Linked DNA regions of Lepisosteus oculatus. The protein of the gene in region 2 purifies or fractionates together with the protein of the main gene of each other region. This does not show direct contact. Links are inferred from orthologs where the notes say so. Each region holds a gene or a part of one and is shown on either strand. Other genes may lie near its edges.

Region 1 (7,517 bases), on a different chromosome or scaffold from region 2:
TTTTTTGAGCAACAGTATTGCCACTGTAAGAAATCTGATAATGGCTCTTTATGCAAATTTCCTGCATATATTAACCACTGGTTTGCATCTTACCGGAGTTTAACTGTTTATTAAAAGAATGATACTATGTGTGTAAACCCACATGTATACTGAAAAGGGAGAAACATATTGTTCTTCAAAATATCAGGGGATCTTATTTGGGTTTAGAACTTATAGAAATTATCGCATAAATACATTTTAGTTGGTCCTACTCACTATTAAACATTTGGAACAATTCTGTAAAATAATTTCTCAAATTGTATTAAAATGATCAGATCTCAGTTTGTGTGGATCAATTTTGAAGTTACAGTACATTCATGCTTGTTTTCAACAGTATCAAGTACTAAATTACAAAAATAAAATATTTGGTATTTACCAAAAAAATATGTGTTATTGCACACAAAACAAATTCCGCATAAATGAATAATATCCTTTCACCTGCAGTTAAACTCCCCTTAGCTGCCTTGTTTGACTCTATTAAATTAATCATACTTGATCAAATACTTCTTACACTTTTTCCATGATCAATGATAAGAGCAGTATTACACTTCTGAAATCTGATTTAGCAAACTAGTCTAGCTCTGCTTTGCAAGGTGTGTGGGATTTAAATATTAACTTCTTACAGAATACCAACTTTATATTTGGCCTGTTTTAATTACCTTTAATTGCCACACTGCTAAGAGTACAATAAAAGATTTGTACATGAGTTAATAGGTAATGAACGGGGTAATTTGAAAATGTTCGTTGAGAAAGTTCTGAACAGGTAGATATGGGACAGATTCATTTTTCATTAATTTCTTCTTTGAGCGCTTTTCTTGCTTTAAGAAACCTCAAGTGCTCTGACACATTTGTCCACGTGTCAGCGCACTTCAATGCATGAACTATTTTAAATAATTAAAATGGCAGTTTCCTGTTTTTAATTTGGTAAAAATACTTTCCTAATGCTCTTCTGGGAGGGATTACAATAACTGTGCTATATATCGCCACGGAAAGATATTTTGTATCACATATAAATGCGAAAATACAGTACAACGCTTTGCAATGTCTTCAGCTTCATTCAAGATTGTTTTTTTTTCTCGTCTTCTAGCGATTCGATCGTGCAAGAGATGCCGAGATATGATATTAGCGATCGAGACAGGATTTCCTGCAAAAAGACGCATCTGCGTCTGACATTTCTTATTAGAGCCCAGCACGTTTATCGGATGCTGAGTAGCTGGGCAGAAATGGAAACGTTTGTGTTCTGCTCCGTGCGAACACTGTACGACTTGAAGTTCTCCTTCCCAAAACAGCAGTTTCACTCAGGATTCGCCCTCCCCCAAATGAAAGCACGGAGGCAGATGCAATTACTGAACTGTAAGTTTTAGAAGTACTGAGAGCAGAACGCGGACTCACAGCAGGCACTGACATACCGTAGAAACCCAGCTAGTTTTGACAGATTACTATCCTGCACCGACTTTCCTCCCCCTTCCCCCTCGGCTTTCCCATTTCTGAACTGTCCTGTCTTCAGCGGATACCTTCCATGTAGCAACCGAAGAGGTATCAGTGCAAACGCGAATGTAACCAGAAAGAAACGAGAGAGGGGAGTTAAGAAGTGTCAAGTCACGAAGACAGCGCTCGCTCTCCCTCGCAACAGAAAATACAAACCACATGAGGACAGGCTATGTCATGTGGGACTGGTTTCGGTTCCTCTTTAAGCGTTAAAGTTAACATGTCCTAACGAATATCCCTTTCCGGGACAACTTAACGTACTCTTTTACTGCTATGCTCTGGTGTTTCGGTGCTCTCGGTGTTTTATTCGGTCACACACACACACGCACACGCAACATAACGGCATATTTGTCTTCTCTCACACACATTCAGGCAGCGATCCTTCATAAATGCGGAAGTGAGGACTTTATCAACCTAGCACTCTGGTTTTGTGTTTTTCGGGCCTTTGCAAAAAATGACAAAACGGAACAATTCTCACTTGATGCCTCCTTTAAAAAACGTTATTGATGTAGTCGTGTCGTTTCCATGCACTCCAGTTCTCTAGTGCCATGCTGATCATACAAACGTTTCTGTCTTTTTTTTTTTTGTCCAGTGAGGTCTAATGTAGAAACACGGATAAAGTTGTGCTTTAACCGCGTTTCAGCTCAATTCTGCAAAGTACATTGTATTAATTCACTTACACCAGCTCATTGTTGTTGTTGTTTTTCTAGTTTTCACGGGAACACCCGACTTGTTTAAATTGACTGATTATTAATAACACAAACCAACAAAACAAACAACAAAAAAAGTAACATACACAGGACACACCGCGTTAAAGCAACGTACTGTAAGCTCCCGCTACCATAGATCATACCGATTAACCTAATGACAGAGACCGGAAATCAATCGAATAATTTAAATTACAGTATAAACTTTTTTTACCCGATAAACTGGTCTACGCACTAGGCGCAGAGAAGAACAAACCGCAGTTACCTGATGGTACGGGGAAGCAGCTGAGCCCATGGCCCGGAATCCGCTGTTCTGTTGCATTGAAGGAACCATTCTGACACCCCCCGAATTCATAGGGTTAATATTAGGGTTCAGTGGGCTACCTGTATTCATTGGGTACACACCTCTTGAAGTCATGTTAAAGCAAATTTAGCTTTAGTTTTTTTTAAAAGAAAAAACAAAGATCGGCGATTACTACAACCCTTGAAAGCGGCAAACTTTTCTTAACAACATAAATACGAACAAAAACAAATTGGATGCAGTTAAACGTCTATCTTTTTTTTAACCCTACACTAGTTCCTGGGTATTTTTCATAAACTCACTCACTCCCCTCTTGAGCAACTCAACGTTGGTTGTATTGTCGGTGTCATCATTTCCCATGAATCTAAGGCTTTGTTCAAGCCCCCTATTTATTTTAAATGGTTGGCACACAAAAAGAATTTAAGAGCCTGACCAATGTCTAAAGATAGCGATCAGACAGGGTTTGGCTGCGTGTGTCTGTAATAACACGCAGCCTCCTCCTACTCCGTGGTTTGCAGTGCAGAAAGAATTCTATATGGCGCCCTCTGCTGTTTAGTTCCGGTTAGAGCTGCGTGTATACCGCCGGGGTAGTTTGCCCGGTTTGCGATTAGTGGAATGTTGTGGAAATCGTTTTTTATAACGATCAGTAGTACAAGTAGCTACAAAAACAAGATATGTAAGCCATCTTTTAAAATTTGCAATAGAGCATCCGTTTAGTCCATTTTGATCTTCTGGTTTGCTTGCTCAGCTGTTGTCTTCATAATTCATTGCGAAGACCTGAAACCGTAACTGTAAGAGCAAATAAAAGACCAAGTCAAAATTAATAGAATAAAACAGCTTTTTTGTTCTATCAAGGCTTTCTCACCTAATGATAGAGACAGTCGATGGATTCATGGCCCAATGCAGGATACAGTACCTACAGTCCACTACTCAGGCTGAATGCTCCTTACAGACAAGATTTCGTTGTGCTTGGGAGATTTCTTGTCTGCTTCCGTATTAGAAATAGAAAGCCAGGTAAAACCAGGGCCCACTGTGAAAACGACACACATTAAAAGATGTCACGGCACTTTTTCCAAAAGCTAGGATGTCATATTGTCTTGACCAAGGTGTGAGCCATGTAATCACCACGCAGAAGGTATTGCACTCCGAAATCAAATGAGGTGGTAGCGTTGACTATCATGCCACCCTTTTACAGTACATCAATGTACAATGATTCATTCATTCTGGGTTTTGATATGAAACATTAGGTTAACCGTGATGAATGGAGTGAGGTAACTGCAAACTGCCGTCACTCTGGAAGAAGGGACTTACCCAGCCTCTGACTCTAGGACAGTTCGCACATTGAAGCAGCACCCATCCACAGGACAAGTCCCTGTGTCAAAGTGCAGTCTCTTCTGGGGATTATTCTCCCTGCACCTTGCTTTCCCAAGATAGCCGTTGGGTTGCTGTGATACTATCCAGGAAGAAGTGACTTTCTGTTTCTATAAACATGCTATATCTGCCTAATATGACAATGACATATTATAGGATTTATACAATTTGTTTTTAATTTTACAGTTCATTACAGTTAATTCAAACTTATGACTTGCAATCTGCACCATAAACATCCTGTGTTGTCTTCCAATGTATTGACCATTCCGTGCCCATTTGATATTCAGTACTATTCACACTCCGCATGTTTAGTTTCAGCAAAATCTTCCCACTAAGCTATTGCTTGGGGAAGCAGAAAAAGAGATTTATTGACCTCTGCTGCTAAGGTTATTTAAAACAAGCAGGATCCGATTCCTGGCTTGCCAGGAATTGATAAATACAACCACTGTACATTCTATAAGTTGTTGTGTATATTGGGAACAGATAAGCAACAGCCAGTCTTTTACATATAAGTTATATTTTGTCAATGTCACATGCATATTAAAAAAAGGATGGCTGACATATTTGTCAGCAGCAAAGGAAATCCAAAAGTTTTGCATAAGTCTCTGTGATGATAGATACAACTTCAATAAGAAAAGAGTTAAAGAAAGCTGTATTATTCAAAAACATTTCAAAGAACCATGTCCTATTACAGTTAACAACCATTAAAATGTGTCGAGTTTTCTCTGTGTTAAAAATATGGATCTTCTTCATCACTGTATAAATTAGGCCCTGTTTGAGCAATGTGTTTATGCCTGTTCTATTTACCTTTAACACATTTGTATCATCTCTTTGGAAGCTTCAATATTTCTATTGTAAGGCTGTGCAATATTGTGATGTAGAACACATGAGGAAGGATTCTAAGAAATGTAAAAGTAAAGAAAGCTGTAATAAAGTCTTATATAACAGGCACACCTACAGTTTCACTCTCTGGCGTGTTTCTCAATGGATTAAAAATATTGTGAAAGTTTAATTTACATAAGTATTAAAACCTGTTTGTAAAACAATGTACCATAGCATTCATTATTTGCCTGTGCCCTTTTTGTAAAAAAAAGAATTGGAAGCATTGATTACATAAAAATGAAGCAGGCAATATTAGTTACCTTTGCAGGCTTAAATCATCTTTGTTAATTAACATACTGTATATATCTGCCCCAAGAAAAATTATAATAAATCCAATTAGCCAATGTTTTCTAACAAAATATTATTCTGCTGGTCTCCAAGTGTTTAACCATGTAGAATGATAATTTATTGTAAGAGTTGGGTTGTCCACTCGAGTGTAAATATTTACTTATAAACTGAATAGATTATACAGCAAGATGAATTTTAACTAATAATATCCCAAAGAATAGTCTTATCTAGACACTTCCAAGACCTGTTTTTCCTCAGTGATTTAATGACCCCAAAACAAAACATGCAAAAGCTGTTACAAAAATATTCCTGCAGGAATTGTCATATGAAAATTGTCCCAAAACCTATTTGTTTTTAAAGATCAGTTCTTTGTATTGTATAAGAACAACATTAAATATGTTTTTAGAAAGGAATCTTTTGTTGTACAAATTGAAATGTTACCTTTTTGTTGGATGGTATGTTATTTTGCATAATATGAGTAAATATTCTTTTTTTTCCCAATCTAAACAGAATGCCATTTGCAATGCAAATTTTCTCTTTGAGCTACTGAAATATTTAAAACATGACATCAATTAATTAAATGGATCAGAGTGGGTTTATTGAACAGTGAATTGTCATAGAATGGTCTTGAGCAAAAAGCCAACTGTCCAGACGCATAAGGTAACCAATCACCTATAGGACCTAGAGCTGGTCAATAAACCATAACTGCTTCCTCAAAAAATAGCAAAAATAAATGTAAATAAAAGTGGGGGTAAAAAGGAAAAATGCGTTTACAAACAGTGAATCCCAGCTGGCTGCCTTCTTAGGAGGCATCAGCATGACAAGTATTCTTCTGGCAAAAGCTGAAAATCAGATCGATAGCCTTTTCCCAAGTCTTTCACAATCTCAACTAGCTTCACTGATGTGGCAGCTTTCTCTGATTGCCAGCTGTAAGTCGAATGTAATCCAATGTCACACCAATAAAATAGCTCCTTGCATTTATGTTCCCTTTAATCCTCCATATAAGCATCTGTGATATTATCTCATAACATCAGTTCACGAGGGTGGCTGTAGAACAAGTTTTATGAGTATCTTTAAATCTTCACACTCACCAGCCTACAAATAAAATAGTCATCAAATTATTATTGAATAGTCACCATTTCTAAATCTTCATATAATGGCCAGTATATTAACTAAATAAAATCATCAGCATTGGCTCGTACTGTATATTTCTTGTAAGGGGAATCAGTAATGGTTAAAAATGCAATGTTAGCAGGCGATCAATGGTTTCTTACCATCAGACCCTGAATTAAAAATGAAATTATCCCTCTGGAAGTAGTTGAGATTGTTTTGTCATTTAATATGAATGGCCAGTAGAGGGGGACAAATATTTTCTAAAAAGGTGTTCTTTCCTTTCAGATTTGATTTTAAATGGAAAAACAAACACTTCAGAATGAACATTTTTAGTCTGTATTTAAAATTGATTTCCCACTGAGGTTGCTTTCCTAACACCACAGTGCCGCTTGGGTACAGCACAAGGTCAGTAAAGATGGGTGGTGTGGAATTGTGAGCTTGCAAGATTTTATTTGTAACATAATTCACCTTTCACATTTCCTCAGAAACATTATTTCCGCAATTCAGAAATCTAATGTCACTCTTCACTGAAGCATTTGTATCAAGCCTAACTGCCAACCAGCAGACGTATCAAGCTTATTTTTCTTATTTAAGAGCTGTTTTAACAGTCAAGCCCACAAATGCCCAACACTAATGCAAAACAATTTTTACAGCAGCATTCAATTATACTGCAGTGTAGTTGGTATTATCAGTACCTGGTAATCCACTCACTTAAACTTATGGCTTTTTGAATTTACTGCAGTCATATTTAGAATGTAAAATTATTTTGGTGATGCATCAGTATCTTAAGTTCTTTGATTCATGTTTTTTTTAGCCTTGACAACCTTTTTGTTTTTGGTTCCTTGGCTTAACGCACATTTGCTATTCTCAGCATGTCTAGGACTAAAGTTTCAAGGACAGCTTTGTTAGAAAATTTAAAGCAATGTCCTTACAGTTTTAAGCCTAGCCAGCTTAAAGGCATAGAGCAGAAAAATAATGAGTACAATATAGACGATCAAGGATAACACACCCATTTTTGATTCTTCAATCAGAGGGGAATTAAATCATTAGTAGTCTACACTTACAGTCCCAAAAAAGATTTGTTGTCAGAGTTAAAAGCAATATTTGATCCATTCAGAATCCACGAAAAGCTTTTCATAACAAGATGCTTATTAATAATGTAATCTGGGTTTTCACAAAATGTAACATTATTTCTTTTATATAATTTACAATAGAAAATTAAATGTAGTTATGCAAGTGTTGATCACCCTGCAGTGAAAATTTGTTTAGAAATTAACCCAGAGAAACTCGGATATGATTTCCAAGGGCAAAGAAGTTTTGTTGTTTCT
Region 2 (7,673 bases):
TGATGGACTGGCGTCCCTTCCAGGGCGTACCCTGCCTTGCGTCTACTGCTTGCTGGGATAGACTCCTGCTCCCCCACAGCCCTGAATGAGAAGATGGCGGGACAGTAAGATTGGTTTCCATTTTCGAGGACGTCGGTCAGCATCAAACGTTTGAAAAGTGAGAGAGAGAGAGAGAGAGAGAGAGAGAGAGAGAGAGAGAGAGAGAACTGGGACGCTTCAGAATCGAGCAGATCCAGTCGGCCCTTCTGGTCCGGTTCGTAGTTAAGAGTTAGTTGATGCCAAGACCTCACCCAGCTGTTTCTTGAAAGAGACCAGGGGTGTGACTTCAGCCATAAAATACTTAAATTATTTCTCCCGGCATGCCAAATTCTGGCAGCCCGGGACGCTTCTGTCAAGTATTAAAGGCCTTCGAACTATATTATCATTCCTCGATGCTGGAAGAAAATAAACCTGTTTTTGGTCAAAGGTCCACTTTTGTGTTCCCGTCACACGGGGATAAGATTTTAATCGCGGGAGAGGACGTGCGCGCGTCCGAGATCTGTTAGGTAGACAGCTGCTTTCAAACACAACCGTTTCAGGCAAATCGCCACAGCTTAAGACAACTGAATGCGTGCAGTATTAAACCAAAGACTGTAGATGACACAGAAATTCGCATTTCTATTTCTAAGCCAGAATCCTGACCAGGTCTCGTGCACTCCTGTCCTGTACACACACACACACACCCACCCACACACACGATGACTAACGGAAGGAGATGACACAAGTCTTCCTTCTCGAAAGCCCTTGTGGCCTTCAGACGCCCGGCCCTGCTCGGGGCTCAGGGTGTCCCATTTTGAAATCCGCGTTTCACAAGAGTATCACCCACACCCTCCACCAGCTCTTCTCTGAAGTCCGCAGCGGGACAGCCGAAGGGAACCACCCCCTCCCCAATTCCAATTCCGAGAAAGGTGACGTTTCCAGTTGCAACACCTCAACGTGCGGCGTGGGGCTCCCATGGAGAAGAAAACAACCGAGGGTTAGCAGAGCCGAACGCTCTTGCGGTTTCGAAACTCAAAGCATCTTCCATCGCTGGGAAAGGCGCTATATAAAAACAGATTGAAATGAAAACCAAATTCAGCGGACGACTTCAGATCCATACGCATTCGAGATACGAAGTGCTGGCAGAAGGCTTCTGTTTAAGTGACAACATCAGTTCGACTGATAAATATTCATTTGCCCACGGTGTATTTGGCACACAGCAAAACACAGGAGTTGATAGTCCACAGCTTTGACTAAACAGAGAGAGGTGGTGCCATTGGCAGAGTGGGGGCTCTGTGGCTGGGAGGTTGCAGGTTCAAATCCCACAGCCGGCAGAGGGATCCTACTCCGTTGGGGCCCCTGAGCAAGGCCCTTCACCCCCAGCTGCTCCAGGGGGGCTGACCCTGCGCTCTGACCCCCCAGCTTCTCTCTCCCTGTCTGTGTGTCTCCTGGAGAGCAAGCTGGGGTCTGAGAAAAGACACATTCCTAATGCAAGACATTGTATAGGGCTGAAAAAGTGATCTGATCGAGATCGTGCGAGTGACGTCATGCGATAACTCGGGCGACCTTCACGAAACTCCGTTAATGATATCCCATCGTTAATTACACCGGCAGGCAGGGGGGCACAACAGCGCAGGGCGAAGGTATCATCGATCTGCAAACCCATTTAAGCGAAATAAACCCGATGACACCCGGAAGAGCAATATTAAAACAAAGAGGCGTTATTATACGAGGCAGCACGACTCAATAACAACATCGCGCTGCAATGCGCTTCAAGATCAACATTGAAAAGCTGCCTGCTGGAGATCGGGAGCTTATCCTGCAGTAGAAAGAGCTACAGGCGTCTTCTCTTCCAGGATGAGAGCTTTTTACTACGTGAATCGGGAGGGATGGAGTTTTTCTAAAAAAAAAATAACAAAGGACCAGATGACAGATGTTGCGATTTTGAATCTGCACGAATTGTAAACTCCCCCCACCACCACCCAGACCGCAATTTCGCTGCCCGGGTGTCCACAAAACGTCTTCAAAACACGTGTTTTACCTACCCGCAGTGTGCGGCGGGAGAGAGACTTGGTTGTAGCCGAGTTTTGAACCGGCTCTTTGAACTTTGTCAACATTTACTTGCGCTGCCCAACGTCAGGCCCTGCCGGGGCGATCCGCTCTCTGAAGAGCGGATCGAGAGCAGGGATCTGGCCGACCGGCTGGGAGATCGTACAGAGGAACAAAGCTACACGCCGGGCGAGGGAGGGGGGTGCAAAGCCAACCGTGGGAGCCCTTCTCTTACACACACAGCGTGTTGATGAATCACGATCGCGGAGCATCGAGTTACAAACACACACATACAACAAGAGGACGGCGCAGCCAACACCGGCTGGGACAAAACCGCAGGCACCGGCGCCTCTCGGTCCCATCGATCGGCTGGATCGGGACGAGAGAGCTCATACAGCACCAGAGACCCGGCACCAACGGGGATCCAGGCTCGGACCGGCAATTCGGCGACCAAAACTACCAGAAACCACCTCCCAGGGCTCTGTGTAGCTGCCCTGAAAACCCCCCTTGATAAGAGGTGAAAACTCCCCCCCCCCCCCCAGTGTTGCGCTGCCGCCGGGAGAAAAGTTTTGAGCGGCGGCCGAACAATGAATCAGTTGTCCGCTCTCACGCCCGGCGCCCTCGGCTGCCGCGACCGGAGAGACGTCGTGGCTTCTCGCCCGCCCGGCTTGCACACAACGTCGCTTCTCCCTCCCTTGAACCCCTCTCTCCCAGCTCCCTGCCCCCTCTCTCCTCCGAACCCCGAGCCCTTCGCCACCCGCCCGCTCAGCTCCGGCGAACGCGCTGGAAGGCGAGAGAAGGGGAGGGAGAGAGAAAAAAAAACAACAACAACAACACTCACAGTTTGACTACATTCTCCACGACGGCCGCCATCTTGGTTCGCCTCCCGTCTCGGACGACGGCAGCGCGCGCCTGCGCAGAAGACGACGCGCCGAGGTCACGTCGAGCTCGCGCGTGTGGCCGGGGGGGGGCCGAACGCGGCCGCGCCGGAAGCAGCCGGCGCGCGCGCGCCTCTCACAGAGTTCCGCCTAAAGCGGCTTCTTGCGTTTCGTCTTTTTAAATTTTTTTTATTAAACGTATAAAGATTTTACTAATACAACTACACTTCTTCTGTTTCGTCGTTTTTTCTGCCTTTTTCGTCTTCGTGACGTTAGCGAACTAGCATACTTACTAACCTTCACTTTTTAAGAAGTGTGCTGAGAATAATAATAATAATAATTGCTTACACTTCTATAGCGCTTTTCTGGACACTCCACTCAAAGCGCTTTACAGGTCATGGGGATCCCCTCCACCACCACCAGTGTGTACCCCCACCTGGGTGAGGCGCCAGTCCGCTCCCCACACCCCAGCTCTCAGTGGGGAGGAGAGCAGAGTGATGGAGCCAGTTCAGAGAGGGGGTTATTAGGAGGCCATGATGGGTCAAGGCCAGGGGGGAAATTTGGCCAGGACATCGGGGTAACACCCCTACTCTTCTCGAGAAACACCCTGGGGTTTTTAATGACCACAGAGAGTCAGGACCTCGGTTTGACGTCTCACCCGAAGGACGGCGCCTGTTTACAGTCTAGTGTCCCCCGTCACTATACTGGGGCATCAGGACCCACACAGACCGCAGGGTGAGCGCCCCCTGCTGGCCCCACTAACACCTCTTCCAGCAGCAACCTTAGTTTTTCCCAGGAGTCTCCCCTCCAGGTACTGGCCAGGCTCCCACCTGCTGAGTCTCCAGTGGGGCTGCCAGTTGTGAGTTGCAGGGTGATATGGCTGCTGACAAGATAAGATAAAGATCACTTTACTGGCCATATAAAATTTCTTGCATTATGCATATAAGTGTATATAATAACGTGCCAGTATAATAAGTCAATCACAATCGATTTTGTTGGTATTATTTGCAATGGAATTGAAATTTAACATTACATCTATGTCTGTCCAAATGCTAGCAATATTGGCCTCTTTTTTTTTCAAAATACGTTTGCAGATCAATCTAGAATGTTTTTACCAGAGGACATAACCAAAAATAAATGTTGGGCTACTTTCACAAAAGAACATTTTTTAAAACCTTTTTTTTTAATTATTGAACATATAAAGAATTTTACAAATACAACTACAACCAGAGGATCAGAAACAGGTACAAGAGACAGAAATCACAAACAAAAGAAAAAAAAATACAAAAGAACACAGTTATCATCTATATTAATTTTGGAATGGCCAGCAGCCATATCGCCCTGCAGCTCCCCACTGGCAGCCCCACTGGAGACTCAGCAGGTGGGAGCCTGGCCAGGACCTGGAGGGGAGACTCCTGGGAAAAGCTGAGGCTGCTGCTGGAAGAGGTGTTAGTGGGGCCAGCAGGGGGCGCTCACTAATGCCCCAGTATAGTGCGCTGCCCTTTGGATGAGACGTCAAACAGAGGTCCTGACTCTCTGTGGTCATTAAAAACCCCAGGGTGTTTCTCGAGAAGAGTAGGGGTGTTACCCCGGAGTCCTGGCCAAATTCCCCCCCTGGCCTTTACCCATCATGGCCTCCTAATAACCCCCCTCTCTGAACTGGCTCCATCACTCTGCTCTCCTCCCCACTGAGAGCTGGGGTGTGGGGAGAGGACTGGCGCCTCATCCAGGTGGGGGTACACACTGCTGGGGGTGGAGGGGCTCCCCATGACCTGGAAAGTGCTTTAAGTAGAGTGTCCAGAAAAGCGCTATATAAGTGTAAGCAATTATTAATATTAACTTGAAATCGCTGCACGACAAGGGTCTTGACTAGGCTCTCCGCTCAGCCGCTAGAGGGAGCCACAGTCCAAGCTATATTTGCACACCATTTCTGTCGGTCCTGTACGTTGCGTTAAATATTACTCAGACGTGCGTGGGGGTGAGAAAGGCGTGTTAAACTATCACCACAGCCCTGCAGAATTCAATCACACAGCGAAAGGAGAGACACTCCTTTGCGTGGAAGATGGGGGGGGTGAGATTCTTTTCAAACCTGAGGTTTGACTTCGTACGCTGTGTGATTTTGCCCCAGTACCGGGTTCTTTAAACGTGCCGTATCAGGGGGGTCAAAATGAAGACTTGTCCGGGGGTTGTGTGTGCAGGTAAACGGATCTGCGTGTCCGTATCCGGTTCCCAGATGGACCACAGGACGTGAGCACCTTGCGCGACTCGTTCTGAGATGCCGTTTCCAAAAGCTACGATAAGACCCCGTCGAGTCAGAGTGAAAAAAAAAATATTTTATTTAGGTTTGAAAGAGGAGCCGTAGAGTTAGGGGGGGTTATTGAGGAAAAAGTGGTCGCGTTTCATACAAAATAATTCACCCAGTTAAGATTCTTGTTACCCATTGATTTCAAATTAATCTAGATGACAAATGTGGTTTTTTTTTTGTGTGTGTGTGACAACAGCCCTGAAACTATTCAGCTCTTGTTTGTCCCAGGGTACACATTTTCTGGACTAAGTTGCAGAATTATATTTAAAAAAAAGAGACCAATCTCGATGTTTGTTGTGATGAAAAAGATGTTCACGTTCGGCCCCATCGAAAACAATCTTAAAATTGCGTTTGTGATCCATTTAATTATTAGAACGGCACGTTATTACATCCATACAATGAAGTGGTCTGGGAAGAACCCTGTGGTTGAGCGTTTTACAATGGAAGTGAGAGGGTATTTGCAGACTATTTTGAAGTGCAAAAATCTGAAAGCGGTGCGGACGTTATTTTCAATTTGTTTTTCAAATAACTTGAATTTATGGAGTAATATGTACCCTCCCCCCTGACGATCTTTGTGTCTTGAATCGTTCTATGTACTCTTGTTTGAACTGTGCTTGTTAAGCAATCAAGTGTGCCTATTAAGTGCGTGGGGTGGGGCGAGAGGGTTCCTGGATTCGTGGATACAAGATAAATGAGACAGGCGAAGGTGCTGGCTAGGACACTGAGCCAATTTGGGCGTTAATAGCCGTGAAAGACGTTCCCTGTGTCCGTACAAGCAGGATTGAGGGTCTGAAATTGAAGCCTAGCTAGGGGAAACGTTATACGCGCTCGGGCATTAAACTTTTAACAACAGGAAAGGAAGGTATAGGATTTCAGGCCAGCAGCGCAGAGGTTATCGGGGGGTTTGGCGTCGGAGAAGACGCAATGCAATTTCAGCGCCCGGTTGGACTAATGTAGCGCCGTCCCGAGCCCCCGGTCTTTCGGAATGGCGGCCGGCTGGGAGTCGGTCCGGAGGTCGTGCCGGGAGCGGGCGTTCGGGCTGCTGGCGCTGGGCTACGTGCTGTACGTCCTGCTGGGCGGGGCCGTGTTCGCGGCTCTGGAGCAGGCCGGCGAGGTGGCCCTGCGCCGGGAACTGCGGGAGGTGCGGGCCGCCTTCCTAGACGATCACCGCTGCCTGCGGGAGGCCCCGCTGGATGCCCTGCTGGAGGAGGTCGTCTCGGCCGGCCAGCACGGCGTGTCGGCGCTGGACGACAGAAGCGAGGAGTGCAACTCCGACTTCACCTCGTCCCTCTTCTTCGTGACCGCGTTTCTCACGACGACGGGTAGGTGGGAAGGTGGTGGTGGTGGTGGGAGGGTTACAGTTTTGACTTCGGCCTTGTGGCGTCTGTTATGTCGCGCCCAGCGTCCGTTTGGGCTTTTACGACGCTGTCGCGCTGTGGGTTTTGGGGGAGGTTACCGCTTTACGGCACCTGGGTGCCTTGGCGGGGTTCAATGTCGCACCGCTCAAGATCTTCAAGTTCGGAGCTGATAAAAAAAAAAACCGCCCTACATGTGCAGAAGGTTCCGATTGGACCGGCTCCGTGAGGGATTGGGGGGTGGGAATGAGAGGGCTCAGCTGGGAAGGAAAACCAGGAGATGTGGGGGGGTCCCCTGTGGGAACCCCCCCAAATTATCCTGTAAAGGACAGGAGGGATGGACCGTACAGCAGCTTAGATGTTCTGTCTGGTCTCAAACAGGTGGAGGTTTAAATAAGAACGAGGCGCTCTGGTACTCTAGTAAAACTGGTGTTTTAGAACTTGGGGATCCCCATTTGTAAAGATCTTGAGCCATTTGCAGTTACCATGATTAATCGGACAGGTGGCTCATTATGTGATGCCGATGGGGGGGTGGAATCTGAACATTTCTTCTTGCTTAATTGCCAACTCGATTGGCCAGCGCGCCTGATCTTTCACGAAAACGGGCGATTTGGGGGTTTCGGAGGAGATCCTGCAATCAGGAGAGGGGAGACCCTGCTTTACACAAAGGGTGGCGGGGGTGTGGAACAAGCCGCTTAGCCATGCGGTGGAAGCCGGTACCCTGGCTCCTCCCAAGCCGCAGCTGGAGGGGATGGCTCCAGTCAAGATGGCGGCGGGGGGGGGGGGGGGGGGAGAATACCACTGTACACAAAGGGTGGTGGGAGGATGGAACGAGCTCCACAGCCTTCTTGCGAGTTACAGCTGGGTGAGATGCAGCAATTAGGATGGGGGGAGCACTACGCTAAGGGTGGTAGGAGTGTGGACCAAACTCCCCTGGCTTCTTTCGAGGAAAGGGGGAAAGAACACCTTGCAGAATTCAGCTCTGGGTCTGCACCTGCGCCCTCGTTTGCTGTAATACAAAGAGGATGTTTGCTTAAAATATTATTTTTTTTTGCACAGCTCTATTGT
Region 3 (7,856 bases), on a different chromosome or scaffold from region 2:
CGCTGAAGGCCACAGGAGAGAACAGAACATCCTTTCAGTGGCGCCATTTACGCGCTTACAAAAGGCAGAAGATGCTATAAGACCTGAAACGCAACAACATGATTGCTAACAGTATTTGACCGTGAACCAAAGAAACAACGCAGTGAGCCGAAGGGATTTAACTGAATTCGCTTCTGTGGTGAATAATTCCCACGTCGACAAAAAGTTCTGCTTAAACTGCACTAGTCCCATCAAAGAAGCACATCTTTGTTCTTCCAAGCACTCCAGCTCTCTCCCAGGTATATCAGAATGACCAGACCACCTTGAGGTGCGGGCATGTGCCAAAATGTCGGATCTGAAGATAATGGCAGGTGGAACCAAGAGAAAAATGGAGTGTATCCTGCAGCCCCACAGGTTTTTGCGTAGACCCAACACTTCACTGGCAGCAATCTCTCGTTCCCCTTTTGTGCACCATAAAGATCTAAGTTAGGAATTGCTTTGCTAAGGGCAGTTTCTGCTTCCAGAGAGGACTGCTGTCATCTAGGTCTCTTTACCAAAAAGCCCAGAACACAGCCTTACAGCCCTGGGTTTATTGACCAGCGTGAGAGGTCCAGCCCTGCTCTTCCCCCACCACGATTCTGGGACAGAAGCTCATAAGCGATGAGCTTGCACGGTGGCAAACTCTACGACACCAGAAAACCGGATGTTCTCCGGGCAGCGAATTCTGCAGCGTCTGAGATCCCAGGTGAGCAAAGTCACCTTCTGCCACAAGCTCAGAGAGCTCAGTGCCGCAGAGTCCAACCAATTACAGTTGGCAGAATTCACTAGGAGCAACAACACCCAAGAATTAAGTATATTGAAAGGTTTATTGAGTGTTTTAGTCACAGTAAATCTGGCTTGGCCCGGCTTGTCTGAGGGCTACCCTCCTGACCACAGGACAAGGAGGCCGAGACCCCTCCGTGGAGTGAGGAGTGACCTAAGGGCAGATGCAGAGGGATGCAGGAGACATGTGAGGGAGAGAAGGGGATCACGTATAGCATTTATAATGTTTTAGGTGAGGAAATTACATAAAGAGTGATTACAGGCAGCTTAAATTGATTCAGTTCCGGTACCGTCCCATCTCCTAAACTTTTGTTATGAACTCCAGTGATTTTCTGTGTTGCTCCTCCTGCCATTACTGAGCCCCCCCCTAACAAACCCATCAATGACATCAGCACAGAGAGAATTCTAACTGGTACCAAACACGAACACATTACTCCACACCTGGCCCACCCACACTGGCAACACGTGACATTCAATCTTCACCTAGTCATCCAGAATGAAGATCCCAGTCACCCTTCTGATGAGCTAACCTAAGATCCAAAGGACACCCTTTAATTCTGTTCTTCTGTCACTCAACAGGTCTAACGTAGATGGTCAGTATTGACAAACCCTCTTTTAGAAGAAGACTGCCTCCTCTAAGGGAGGTGTGGGGTTTGCCAACGTGGCCTTTTTGCAATGCACATGCAAAGACAAAAAACAAAACTTCAGGAAAACCAAAGGCAGTGTGCACAGCACAGGGTATTGGCACGATATTTCAAGCAGCAGACTGCTGGTCAGACCCTACATGTATTTAAGATTTTTATCTTCACACGTCTGTGAAGGCAAACTCATTCAGAATAATTGTCCCAGCTTGAACAAACCCAAATATGGCTTTGCCTTTTGGAAAGAAAACTGCAGCTCGTAAATTCTGACATGGGTCTCATACCATCTGATGCTGCTGTGCCACGGAAATCATCATAAAGGGATTCAAATATTATATTGCTACCGAGGTTAAAAGTACACGCTGTTCGTATTTTAACATCATAATTTAGCAAACGTGGGATTCCTTCAAATATTCACACCTAACTTTAAAAACTTCAGCCCTTCATGAATAGCGAGAACTACATTAATTCAACACACATCAGCCCTACTTCGATACCTTATTTCAACTGTAGGGGAGGCTGAGGCGCTAAATTTAATTTGCAGCAAATCAGTCGTCGTGGCTATTGCTTATTCTGATCGCCAGTTGCAAACTTAGAAAGTTCAGTATCTTCGTTTTCTCCAGCAAGAAGACCCCGAAAAGCCTTTTCAGTTCTGCTTCCCCACCATCTGTGAGAAATACGACCACCTCCACGATAATTAGTCACACATTTCCCCCCACCCACCCCGTCTTAATTATGCCGGGCCTAAGCCTTGCTCTGACCGGGGAATACTGTGAACCGCATCCCTCATCAACAAGGGAAACAAGAGGGAAAGGGTGAGAGAGAATGAACTACAGCTGCAAAAATATATACACCCGCAACTTCGGCCACACAGCTGTACAGCTCATAATTGTGCTTTATCAGAAAGAAGCCTGGAAAGATAGAAACGGAGTGCGTTCAGCATCTTCAGCGTCACTTTCCTGGATATTGCAATGCAGAGGACATCCCTACAGTACAGCTGGACAATGCATGTGTATCACCTGGGCACGCTGTACCGGGAAATCAGCAAACCTTATCCCCACCCTCACCTCCTACGGCACATAAGGTGGTAAATGAGCCGTTTCTCTCAACGGCGGTTTAGCAACACAGCACACAAGCACAGAACTAAGAAAAACAGATATTCATCCGAAGTTTTCTCCTTGCCGACTTCTATTCTACCGCCTCTCTCTAACCGGTATACCCGGGTAGTTCAGTTTGAGCACCTGATAAAATATAAAGACGTTCGCTGGTCCTAATCCACACACAACCCCCTCCCTCGCTTCTCCGTCTTTCCCGGCTCCCTTTGTTCCCCTGACGTTACCGCCTCCCCCTCCTTACCGGGTATCCGGGCCCTGGCATTGGGGAGCGGTAAAGGTGGTTCTGTGCTGCCGAGGAAGGACCCATCCGGCCCGAGGGAGTCCCCGGTCCCATTCCCGGCCCAGCACCCGGTCCCGGCTGCCCTGGACCCAGCCCTCCACCGCCGCCTCCTGCTGCCGCCGCTTGGAAGCCACCGCGAGCCGCCATCTTCTCCCCGCTGAGCCCGTGGTGAAGAGGATATCGCGAGAGGGGCTGTACGAGATTTTGCTCACTGGTTGTCATAGAAACTGAAGAAGCAGCAATTATTCACACGGCTCTGAGCACACGCTGAACTTGATCGAAGCCATATTGCTGAAGGACGTGAAAGCAACGTTTATTTCCTAATTTGTCTTTAATATGAATAATTATGGTTTCAATGAAATGACTAATATGGAACGTGCGCAATGTTTATGTATCGTACGAGAATCAAAATCAGAACTCGTGTAAATTCAGTGTAGTTTTTAATTGTTTTATTATTTTGCTTTTGCAAGCAACTTTCTGGCTCGTAGATTCCCGTGCCGAATATAGTTTTCCATATAGACAAACATCAAAATATACATCTTGCGATTTTCACATTGGAATATTACTGTAAACCATCACAATTGCGTCTTCAATCTAATCAATGCGCTTAACTTCCCAAACTTCTCAAACATTTCTGCGTCGCCGGTTCAGTTTTACTGGCTATAAAAAGTGCTCGAGATAGTAACCAGCAGATGTCGCTGCTCTTCATTTTCCTCAGTGGAAGAATAGGTCTGTAATCCTTATATTCTTATGTAAAGCAGTAAATGAAGATAGATGGACTGATACAAATATTTATGATCTGACACGATTATTTAAACACCAGCCTCCCATGGTGAATATCTTGATATAACTATTATTTGCTAGCATTTTGGTCTTGTGTGCATCAATCAAGTGACATTCACTGGATTAACTTCAGTCTGAATGAGGTCACTTGGCACAAACTAATCTTCTGCACTGTAACCAGATTCTCATTGGTAAATACAGCTATGAAACAGAATGAATTATGAAACTGACAAGACTATACACACACCTTAGGAAGAACACCTTTTGTGTTATGCATGTTTTGTTTTAGAAAAAGCATGTCTTAAGGGAATTATGTGTTCCTTGTAAGCAGCATATAAACGCCCACTTCACAAGTCAACATATAGCTATACCACACTGATGGTATAAACAGCTATCCATGGCTGCTTACTATAATAAAACCTAAACTATATTACTTTAATAATATTTACACTCTATATAATGTACAGTACATTATAGGTTACTTTAATAATATATTAAATCACATTTAATATTCACATTACCATTAGGGACTGATTGGTTAAAAAGTAGATTGTGGACTTGATATTCCTATCTGTACAAAGCGAAACGTATTTGAAGAGTTGGATCAGCAACCATGGTATTTCTGTGCACGGATGAACAGCTTTACTGTTTGATTTCACAGTCCTACGTAACAGAACGGCTTTACAGAGCCAAGCAGACGACGAGTGCTGAGCTTCTCTTCCTCCGACAGCCCATTTGCAGGGGCTGCGAAGTTTCACTTGGTTGCTTGCCTCCCATTAGCCTCATGCAGAGCAGAATTGGGCATCCTTCTAACACGTTGAGAGCCGTCTTCACCGGCAGATGTCGGGGAAAAAAAGAACATTCTCTCATCCTAGGAGGATAATTATCCTGAAACAATGCATCACAGCTGACATGTCCTCCACGCCTCCCTTTTCCTCTTCATCCTGAAGAAGTGCTTTCTGTCAGTCCTAACAAGGGTGACCTCATACCTCATCGCGTTTGTCAGAGCCAATTTAAGTGCAGACGGGAGAGGGGCAATGTCGGAGCCGTCAGGAGAGGAGATGCTCTCTGCTAACCACTATCTGTTCAGCAACCCGGCCCACCTCTCCTGCCTCGCCGGTCAAAGGTCCCACTGCTAGGAGAACTCAATCGTGACAGGTGGGGGAACGGAGAAGCGAAGTTCGCAGATCGATCTGCGGGAGAGTACCGGTCTGCTCTGTGAGCTTGCCAGCTGGGCCAGGGAGCAGATGAGTAGCCCCGCTCACGGAAAAGATGACATTGTTCCTCCCTGTCCGATTTGCATCACACACAGCCGAACGGCATTTGCGCGTTCCTCCAGATGGGAAATGCATTCTGGAATCGGGGGTTTAGGATACACCCACAACCAGGATGTCCCCTCTATGTGACGGTCTCAAATGGGCATACTGCAATGTTTTTAAATTGCATAAGAAAATCTAAAACTACGTTTGTATGATTTTTTTTAAGGCACAGTGTTAATTACCCAGCTGCGAGGACGTGGCATCTGCCTTTTTCACTCAGAATGTCAGAATGTCGATCTCCTTTGCATTCAGCCTGTCAGTCTGTCTGTCTCAGCCAATGTCAATCAGAACCCCCCCCCACTCACAAACAAACTTCCCCTTTCGGCTTATTGATTCCTTGATCTCTGGCGTGCTTCCTTGGCTGCTCTGTGCTCCTGTCTAGCTTTCTGAAAAGTTCATCTCCGATTTAATACACTAATCACATCGAGCTAATTGAATAATACTTGTAGCTGGGCCACAGGCTAATGGAATTGTGTTTGCTCGCGTTTGTGGTGCACAAGCTAAAGTCCTGTATTATATTACTGAAGTTTTTTTTTTCCAGAAAAGGTCCCTGTTTTTGTTAAAATGATAGGTGTCTTTAGAAGTCTGCAGTAAGTCGGAGCCCTTCAGAGATAGAGAGATGAAATGTTGTCCCATCCTTCATTACAATCTCCTATAACAGCACATGTTGCAGATGATATGGATGACTAAATCCTTTTTTTAAACATGAGGGCCAATTGGGTTTATGTTGTTGGAACACAGCAGCTTTTGAAAAAGTCCCTGCAGCTCTGCTGACACAATCCTATCATTCCTGTGAGAAAACAATTCTGAAGGATACACAAACAGGCCCTGTGGATTTCAGAGCCTGAGACCTGCCATGTCAGATGTCAAGGTTTGCTGTGAAAAGACAGACACATGGTCCCCAGTGAATCCACAGTGAAGGATATTTGCAGCAGTTGCTGGCCCAGTTGCACAAAACAAAGCAAGAACATTTTATATATTTCACTTAAGGGGTCCTTGACTCTGTGTTGCACAGGGTAGCAGAAGGACACTGAATCCAATATCCCAGTTAAGAGGAAATACATAATATTCAAGGGGTTTAATACTTTGATTGGGTGGCACAGTGGCACTGTGGTTAATGTTGCTGCTTCTCTGGGGCTCTGAGCTGAATTCTGGACCTGGGGTGCTATCTGTGAGGAGTCTGCATGCGTTTGGGCTTTGTGAGTGTGTCCCCTCCAGGGTGTGTTCTGCTTGTGCTTCTTGTATGCTAGGATAGGCTCCATCCCCCAACCCTGTACCTTGATGGGAAGAAGTGGTTAGAAAATGGGTGGATGGAATATTAAGTCTTCTATGTAGGAAAGCGAACGCTGCCGATTCTTTTTATAAGAAAATGCAGTGACTCTCCTATGCCTGGGATAGGGTGCTATAGAACATCACATAGGGCCTCTACAAATGTCAGGAGCAAATAAAGACTTACACAGAACAGGATTTCTGTGATGGATGACAGGGCTCATTTTACTGTTGTACTTCCTAGGAAACAGCTTGAAAACGGTGCAATTAATCACTTTCTCTACAACCAAGATTTTCCTGCTCCGAGATTCATCACGGAGGAGGAGGAGGCTCTGTCTGAAGTCCCTCCCCACCCCAACACCCCCGCTCCTTATCTCCCCTGCCTTTGCGGGCTGATATCTGCTCACATGCTGTCACCAGGAAGGAAGGCAGGCGAGGAGACACAAATTAATTTGAAGCTGGAAACTCTTGTCCTTCCCATTAGCCAAGCTTCTTAAGATGGGAGCATTTCGTGGTTCAATCTTGGAAGAGGGCCCTTCCACAGTTACCCCCCCCCATGACTAAAATCTACGTCCTCTAAAGAACACCATTTGTCTCCTCCTTACTCTCTCTTTTCCTCTCTCACGCAGCTGGGGCAAGATCTGAAGAGTGGTTCGGCTTGCAGAATACAGGCTAGATCACATTAAATCACCACACATGTCTGGCTGTGTGCCCCTACACCCCCGCCCCCATAGAAACAGGGATGTCAGATGGAAAAGTGAAACCATTGTCCCAGCGGGACTGTCTTGAAGGTAACTGAAAGCAGTAAGAAAATATTAAAGAAAACGCTTTCTCAGTTCACTCCTGTTCCGTCTGACATTTCACCGGGAGGCGCTAACAGTGTTAAAACTGACGGGTGACACTCGATGGCGGCTCTCGAAGTGCCTCGCTCATAACTCACGCAGCGTTGTCAGCAGCACTCCCAGACGCAGTCTTTTCTGCTGTTTTTGTGCCGATAAGGCCGGGTGCCTCTGACAATTTACAGTAAAACAATGCTGCTCTTTGGAAAACACTCCATGGGCGAACTGCACAGTGCCGTATGGATCTGAAGGCTCTTGTGTGGGTGGGGTTGATCTGACAGAAGCACTCTGGTGGTTTCTCGTGTTGGTACCAGTGCCCTGCTTCAGCAAACAGCTGTAACACGATTTGTCCCTCTATAGTGAAGCCTGGAGATGGGCACTGAAAGGTAATAATAATAATAATAATAATTGCTTACACTTATATAGCGGTTTTCTGGACACTCCACTCAAAGCGCTTTACAGGTAATGAGGACTCCCCTCCACCACCACCAGTGTGCAGCCCCACCTGGATGATGCGACGGCAGCCATAGTGCGCCAGAACGCTCACCACACACCAGCTATCAGTGGGGAGGAGAGCAGAGTAATGTAGCCAATTCATAGATGGGGATTATTAGGAGGCCATGATTGGTAAGGGCCAATGGGAAATTTGGCCAGGACGCCGGGGTTACACCCCTACTCTTTTCGAGAAACGCCCTGGGATAGGTCATCCCTCCCTTTTTCCCGCAGCTGGCACAGCCTGATGGCCATTTCCCTTGGGGCGCCCTGCCAACCTGGCAGTCCTCATGTTCCGCTCGCCACTCTACCCCCAG
Region 4 (7,752 bases), on a different chromosome or scaffold from region 2:
GACATTTTTAAGCACACTGGGCTTCTTTTCCCTTTATGTTCTTACAAGGCAGGGCCCTTAGGACCAAGAACAGAAAGCAATACTTTGCAAAAAGAGGGGCGGGTGTCAGGAACAGTGTGCCCAGATGGGTTGTTGATGCTGATTTACTGGCATCTTTCAAGGAAAAGCTGGACAAGATGCATGAATCAGGTAGCTACTAGCAGACAGCTGAGCTTGGCCTCTTCTTGTCTACAAACCTTTGTAGGCTCTTGGGTGAGAACCTCACCTAATATTGTACAATTATACAAAAGCTTGCCGGAACAAGATTTTCTTTCACATTTTCTGTTTAACGGGTATGACCTTTACCCCAAATACTACTTTTAACATTCAAAATGTCTGGTTTTACTTATTCAGCTTGATTACACAACACATAGCCCGGTTCTACAAAACTGTACCAAGATTCGCATGCAAGTAATATATAATAGTGTTTTCTAACTGAAAATCATGTGTTGACTGCTAAATTATTGTTTAGAGGACAAATTCTGAATGTTTGCTCCACTACTGGAAACCTACTTTTAAAAGTTAACCATTTTAATTTTGCATTCATGTGAACAGAAACCTCATAATGTTATAAAGCTATTCTAAACCTACACTGATATCCACTTCAATTGCTCTGGGAAAATAAAGTAACCTATTCTTTAAAGCATATTTTCTGTGCTTGCGTTTAACAATAAAAAATGCTAACACATAATGTGGTTTTGGCCTACAGTCGCCGGATTTATGATTAAAGATGAAAATACCAGGGGGTTCAACCATCATTAAGGGCTCTTCGTGCAAAAGGAGACTCAAAGACATCCTGACCCACCAGACACCACCCCCTCTAAACCCGTGGAGAGCTGAGACAGCGCCTGCCATGCCAAACAAACAGTCTAGACACAGAAGATGCTTAATTCTGCTCGATTGTGAACCACTGGGCAGAAATCCAGCTCTGGCACTGCGGAATCTCACACAAAAGAGTTCCTGGCTATAGCTGTGCGAGATAGCGCTGCGTGGTACCCATGACAAAATTTAACCCATGGGACAGACAGGCAACAAAGTCCAGAGACTCGCGGATTGGAGACGGCCAAAGACGAGCGTCATCCCCGAGAGCGCTCTTTGTGCGCCTCTGACCTTCGAGACGGACCGGATTTGGTCCACTTGGATGTGAAAAGCATCTTCGGCTTTAATGTGTAATTGTTGCATCGATGAGATAAGCAAGCCTCCTATTGTTACTCTCATGGTCGTTGTCACGCGAAAATGCAGGGTGAGAAGCACAGCAGTTTGCAGAGAAAATTTGGAGCACTGTAAATGCCTAGTTAGCGTAAAGAGAAACGTCCCCTTCTCTAAAAATATAGAGTTTATCCGATCAAACTGGATCTTAATTTCCCCTGCTAAACCCGTTTCTGCGTGTCCGTGCATGTACTGTTTTCCCCATTTTAATTACTTGGTCACTAGCTTGCCTCTAATTAGGTCCCAATTTCCATAGACTTGGAACCTTTAATCTAACCAGCAGTTAGACGGGATTAACCTTGGTGCTGTGTTGATGCGAGAGTCCCTTTTCCCTTAACATATATTTACAAATTATATAGGATTCTCATCTTTACCGTTATACTTCCTACGTCCCGATACGCAATTTGAAATAACCCCACATAAATTCAAAGAGGCGGTCATCGTATTGTAAGAGTTAGAAATTTTTACAGAAATATCATTCCAAAAATGTGGGAAAAAGTTGACTTTAGAACGAGCAATCTTCTGCAATGTCGAGGGAAATATATCCAAATCGTGAGTTTATCCTTAAAATACATTAAACCGTAAAAAACAGTTCCCGGGATTCCGTTTTTATTTCCATTACAACAGATTTTTAGCCCTCCAAGGATGTTTTTTATATATTTTCTTAAATCGACCTACGATGCCCTAGTAGAAAAACGACGACTGTTTTGTTACGTAAATCCTTCTTAAAACAATATTGCATGAAAGTGTACCTTATCTTCGGATTTCAAAACACAGACCGATATTTCACAACTGTAAAAGTAATGTGTTGTTCGTTCGCTTCAATGTGCTTTTTTATTTTTAAAAAGTCTAACATATTTGCGTGATCAGCCATGCACTACTTCCTACTCCCAGCCCCCACTGCACGCTACATCTGTTTGCTCTAAAGAGCGACTCTAAGCGCTAAATTTAAACCCCGAGACCGAATAAAAACTATTCTGACTCTAGAGCGCCGTCGTCATAGTATAGTTACAAACTGGAGATTATTGTTATGATTTGTGCGCGCCAGTGTCCCGGAACACTCCGCGCCACACAAAGATCCCTTCACCCGGCATTACAGCAGGCAGAAGACAGCAAAGGCTTCATGTGACTGCAACGAAATGGCTTCTGGGTTCAACCCACATTAATTCTTAATGGAAAAATCCATTTAAAAATTGCTCAAACCTTCGCTTTTGCGATCGGTCCGGCGGCTGGCACGAAGCGCAGGAGCGCTTGAGCACACCTGTGCCAACAGCACGATCCGAGCGATTTCAGTTCAAGATGACCCTTCTCGTTCATTTCATTCTTTCTTCTCCCTCTCTTCTCTCCTCCTCCTCCCCCCCCCAACAAGCTGGGCTTTCTGCTCTTAGATAATGAACCGTGGCTTTTTTTTTCTCCTCTTACCATTTTCGTACTTTCTCAATAGCGGCCATAACACGCTTGATGTCATCTTTCGCTCTGCTCCTGGTCTCTGCGCGGACCGACCTGCCCGACATTGCTGCTGTTGGTATAATATTTTTTAAAGCTCGCCGGCAGTTCAGACACAATGCATACACTCAATGTAGAGCTTTGTGAGGAGGGAGCGCGCCTGCGCCAAGAGAGCACAGAGCCTACAGCTGCATGGCAAAGCCAGGCTGGAGCTTTGTCACACAACTCCGAGCTACAACAATGTAGACAGAAGCAACAAAGGCTTCAAAGTTACATTGTTCACAAAGAAAGTTTCGCGAAAACTTCTCGAGTTGACACACACGATGCTGAAAGTTGCAGACGTACTTCCTGTTTCAACGCAACATTCCAGATGGGAAAGAAAAACAGTCTAAAAAAAAAAAGACTCGAACGGGTTTTGTTTCGGTTAAATTGTTTTACGGGTTTTCTTTTTTTTCCCGCACAATGCACTCGTCCAAGACGTTTCAGTGTCTTTTAAGACGTATATTATATATTTTAGAAATTATTTGTTTCTATGTTTGGATGAGAGGCATGGAACAGCTTTCATTGTGTTTCATCATATTGTTTTTTCATTATGTGATATTTAAACGCATTTTCATAGCAAACCAAAGTATTCTTAATACAAAGAAATTGCCCAGAAGAATAAAATCCAATACATAGTCAGATATATATTTTTTAAAAGTTATTTTGCGGACATTTATCGTTTCAAAATTAGTGCAGTCATTTCAACCTTTAAACTATACATATTATATAAATCAATATAAATAATAATAACACATCAATAAATATCTAGGTAAAATATTTTATTTAAAACAAAAGTTAAGATTTAGAATCTGCGGTAAGCCACTCCAGCTTCTTCTTTTGTAACTGTAAAAATGTTCAAATACTAAAGAGAGCAAAAAAAAATCCTAATTTTACTGACAAAGTGTTGAAGGTGAAAGCAACTTCATAACACACAGGTTGGCAGCTCCATCGACGAGTGGTGGGAAGCATCACAGCCTAGGACAACACAGACTCTCGGTCTGTCTGACCCTCTTCAGAAGATGCAGTTTCCTGGACAAAAACTGGAAAACCCAGTATGTCAGATGTCAAGGTGTCTATCGTGATTTCTTCAGGAATCACACTTTCCAGCAGAGACTCCGAACCTGTCAATTCAACCCAATAAAATAAAAAAAGTTAAAAGTGGTTTCTTCACATGAACTCAACAATATGCCCATCACTGTTCAATGTTACAGGAATACATATAATCAATAGAGTAAATCCTTAATAATTCCCTACACTTATATAGGGCTTTTCTGGACACTCCACTCAAAGTGCTTTACAGGTAATGGGGATCCCCTCCACCATCACCAGTGTGCAGCCCCACCTGGATGATGCAACAGCAGCCAAAGAATACCAATATACTCACCACACATCAGCTATCATGGAGGAGCAGAACAGAGTGATTAAGCCATTTCATAGATTATTAGGAGGCCATGACTGGTAAAGGCCAGGGGAGGAAATCTGGCCTGAAGAATGTCATATGATTTTCACCATTATTATTTCATCCATTATTACCATTAACTACTTAAGAGAGTCTGGTAAGCCATACTCAGTAACATTTTGTGATCTACATCTTTTGCACTGCATTATAGTCTTGTCACTCTGGGACAAGTCACTGCAGAAGACCAAGTAATTTAGTACTGTACATACCTGTAGAATCAAAGCTTCCCAGTTCCAACCTCCCCCCTTCAGGATTTAGCCCCATCAAGGTGGAGAAGTACTCGGCTAGCTCCTCTTCAGTCATGTGCTCACCTAGGAAAAAAAAAAACATTCCATAACGTGTTTCACATCCCCATGTAAACGTCTCATTCTGATTATTTCAAGGACCTTCAGCCATCCGAATGACGTCCTAATCCTTATTATGACATCATAAATCAAGCATAATACAGGAGACTGAGAGAAATAAGAGTTAAAAACAAATGCATGTTTTAATATTTTAAGTTTTATATACTATAAATGTCACAGCTCAAGGGTTGTGAAAGTGCAGCTGAGCTGATTAAGGACTGATGATACCAAGTGGCTGGGTATGAAAAAAGTATGAAAGATCCAAAATTAAAAATGACAAAAAGCCACAAAATGCCTGCCTTTTTTAATTTAAAGGATTTTTAATTCATTAATATCATGTGTGTATATTACAAGAAATAGGGAAAAGTGCTGCTCTTCATGTGAGCTCCTGTATAAAGTGCAGGCCCGCCTGCAGCTCCCCAGATTTTGTTTCTGTTGTTTGCTCTAATGATGAAAATACAGCACAGAACATGTGGGAACAGTCTGCTAATGTCTGAGAATTAAGGTCCAATCTGTTGTATTCTAACAAATCCTGATGTCACTCTGTCAATATTGGAATAATATGTCCCCTCAGACACTGAAGGTAACAAATGGACAAGCTGTCTATAATCATACCCAGAGCATGTGTGACATTTTTCCAATTGATCTGTCAGATGAAAGCAGCAACTTTAAAAGATGCTTTGTTACTTTGGACTGGAAGCAGTCTAACATACCTCTGGCCTGCAGCAGCTGCAGTAGCTCTCCCCTGTTCAGTGTTCTCTCCCCATTCTCATTTTCATAACCCAGAACTTGAAAAGCGTGCCTCAGTTCATTCATAGATATCCCAAATGCTGGGCGATGGTTTACATACAGTTTTATAAAATCTGCCAAATCAATGTCGGTCACATACTTTCCTGTATCTACATACTGGCTGAATTTGACCTCATTCAGCATATCTTCAAGCTGTGAAAATAAGGGAAGAGAGGTATATTTCGAACAGACAGCAGACAGTGTTTCTTTACACAAAAGTGTACAGGAGTCTAGAAGAAACGTCTATGCCAAGCTGATATCCTGGCTCCTTTCAAGAAAAGGCTGGGCATGAATCTGGGATTGATACGTTATTAGCAATCAAACAAGTTAGATGGACCAAAAGCCTTTCTCCTGTTTGCAACCTTTATTATGACAATAGTGATCAGTTTATAGTAATCAAGACTAATTTATTATTAATAATATTAAATATAATAAGGGATACTAAGCACATATGGCCTATAGATAGAATAGGTTAAGAGCATAAAGAGTGTTTTGTTCAGCTCAGACGTGGTGCAAAATGAGAGATTTAGTGCAACACAAAATGGCATCAAGTCAGGCAAGTATAAAACTAATAAGCATTTCTTTAGACAGGTGAAACTATAAATGACTGAATCATTCAAATTAAAGCTACATTACATTTCTTCAGTGAATGTAAAAAGCTCAGAAAGCAGACAGAGAAACAGAATGAAAAACAGGAAGAAAGAAACCTTTAATACAGATCTGACTGCCAGCATCTCTGCAAATCTCCAGACTGAAACCCTTCTCTGAGAATTGTTTCCGATGTTCAAGATACTCAGAGCACAGAACCATCTGTAGCTCATGATTTGCAAAGATGATCTTTGTTATTATTTCAGCCTTCAGTGAGTGGACTTATCTGAACCTGCCTCCTGCTCAGAGGGGTAGAATCCCAATGCCCGCATGACAAAAGGGATCTCTGCCAGGGGGATTCTTGTAGACACCTGTCGGGTCTCCATGGTGTCAATTCCTTGATTGCGCAGCTGGCAATAGTAAAAATAGTCTTCCAGTTCCTAGATGGACAAAACAAAAAACAGTACTGTAGCTCCCATGTTGTGTCTAACAATGAACTTAAATGAAGCGCGTCTATAAAATTAAAACAACAGCTTCATCTTTCTGTCTAGGTAAAATAAAAGCCAACTCATGCACTTCATAGCACAAGAATTAGATGAGTGATTTGATCGCATAAGAAAATGAGAACAGATATTTGCTAGAAGGTGTCTAACTGAGCCTGTTGTGTGTAAAAAGATGACACTTTTCAAAGCATTACTGTGAATTTTATTATACTGCCTATACTGCATTCAGCACCACTGTAGTACACATTGAAGTTCTATGTGCCTGCACAGGAAGTTCTTCATGCATTGATAATACAGCAAAACAGACAAGGTACAACTAATGATTTGCTTGTGTATTATCGACTCCTTTCATACATTCAGACATGGATGATAACGTCTGCTGTATTTCAGAAGAAGCCATTTTGGTTTTAGCACCTTCAGTGTTAATTTGTTACAGTTTAACTACTATTTTTGTTAGATTCCATATGGCATGCAGTTCATTTGTTAAATATATTAGAAAGTGGGGTTTAATAAATCTCCTCACCCTAAAAAGCTCCCCATCTCTCCCACCTTCAAGAACACTGTAAAAGGGAATGAGGTCCTGTCCTCCAAGAGACGCTGCTGCCTCGAGAGCACTACCACAATGCGAGAGAAGGAAAATCACTCACAAAGCCTAAACACGAGATCGATAGACAGCATGGCCTCTACAGGGAATTGAGGAACACTAGCAGGCATTCAGAGTCAGCTTGTGTTAGAATGCTTTGAGAGCAGCAACAGGCAGAAGTCAGGGTCATTTTGCAATGCAGTTAGAAGTAAAAACGTAGACAACATTTTGCATTCAATTGCAATTACAGTACTTCTCTTTGAAAATGGAGAAAGGTACTTGCTCCCAGTCCATTTGCTCTGGAATTGCTTGCCTTGAAGGTAAATGTTAGTAATGCTGAGCACAAATCTGTGGAATGCAGCAGAATGGCTATGGGAGGCATGTATACAGTACGTGCTTAGAAATTAAAATTAAACAATAGGCTTCTTTATTATTTGACTACAATAGACTGATGAACTCACTTCAGGTTGATTTCCCAGGTGAACACTGTGCGATCACTGCCCCCTGCAGTGAAAATTCGCTGGCCATCACAGGAGCATGCAAAGCTAGAGACACCCAGTGGGTGACAGATGAGGGCAGAAGATTTATGGGGATTTCCATCTAATGGCAAGATCTGCAGGCCAACCTGTGAACATCACAGCAAGACCCTTTAACAAACAATAAGTTATTTATAATACAGTCACGCACAGTGCTGCATGGTTTTGCATACTGAGTCTGTGGCTACTTCTTAATAACACTAAAAGCTGTCAT

Evidence for each region.
Region 1: the proteins of dpf2 (region 2) and smarcd2 purify together in Homo sapiens (affinity purification with mass spectrometry; 6 studies listed by BioGRID and IntAct, counting the BioPlex papers as one, with this or other methods). This does not show direct contact. The link is inferred for Lepisosteus oculatus from reciprocal best matches to the Homo sapiens genes DPF2 and SMARCD2.
Region 3: the proteins of dpf2 (region 2) and smarcd1 purify together in Homo sapiens (affinity purification with mass spectrometry; 9 studies listed by BioGRID and IntAct, counting the BioPlex papers as one, with this or other methods). This does not show direct contact. The link is inferred for Lepisosteus oculatus from reciprocal best matches to the Homo sapiens genes DPF2 and SMARCD1.
Region 4: the proteins of dpf2 (region 2) and bcl7a purify together in Homo sapiens (affinity purification with mass spectrometry; 3 studies listed by BioGRID and IntAct, counting the BioPlex papers as one, with this or other methods). This does not show direct contact. The link is inferred for Lepisosteus oculatus from reciprocal best matches to the Homo sapiens genes DPF2 and BCL7A.

The regions. Positions count from the first base shown.
Region 1 is NC_090723.1:2,688,308-2,695,824, forward strand, and holds the start of smarcd2 (SWI/SNF-related matrix-associated actin-dependent regulator of chromatin subfamily D member 2), read right to left. Parts: upstream 3,018-7,517; 5' UTR 2,653-3,017; coding exon 2,500-2,652; intron 2,418-2,499; exon of another isoform or gene 1,750-2,417; coding exon of another isoform or gene 1,684-1,749; intron 1,650-1,683; exon of another isoform or gene 1,449-1,649; intron 1-1,448. UniProt on the Homo sapiens protein: Involved in transcriptional activation and repression of select genes by chromatin remodeling (alteration of DNA-nucleosome topology).
Region 2 is NC_090713.1:19,938,933-19,946,605, forward strand, and holds the start of dpf2 (zinc finger protein ubi-d4), read right to left. Parts: upstream 3,002-7,673; 5' UTR 2,941-3,001; coding exon 2,909-2,940; intron 2,584-2,908; exon of another isoform or gene 2,064-2,583; intron 1-2,063. Other genes in the region: kcnk7 (potassium channel, subfamily K, member 7), read left to right, coding at 6,236-6,572. UniProt on the Homo sapiens protein: Plays an active role in transcriptional regulation by binding modified histones H3 and H4. Is a negative regulator of myeloid differentiation of hematopoietic progenitor cells. Might also have a role in the development and maturation of lymphoid cells.
Region 3 is NC_090696.1:17,243,893-17,251,748, reverse strand, and holds the start of smarcd1 (SWI/SNF-related matrix-associated actin-dependent regulator of chromatin subfamily D member 1), read right to left. Parts: upstream 3,019-7,856; 5' UTR 2,985-3,018; coding exon 2,799-2,984; intron 1-2,798. UniProt on the Homo sapiens protein: Involved in transcriptional activation and repression of select genes by chromatin remodeling (alteration of DNA-nucleosome topology).
Region 4 is NC_090717.1:7,063,271-7,071,022, reverse strand, and holds the start of bcl7a (B-cell CLL/lymphoma 7 protein family member A), read right to left. Parts: upstream 3,001-7,752; 5' UTR 2,763-3,000; coding exon 2,671-2,762; intron 1-2,670. Other genes in the region: cfap251 (cilia- and flagella-associated protein 251), read right to left, coding at 3,712-3,857, 4,405-4,506, 5,253-5,481, 6,213-6,356, 6,943-7,033, 7,464-7,627.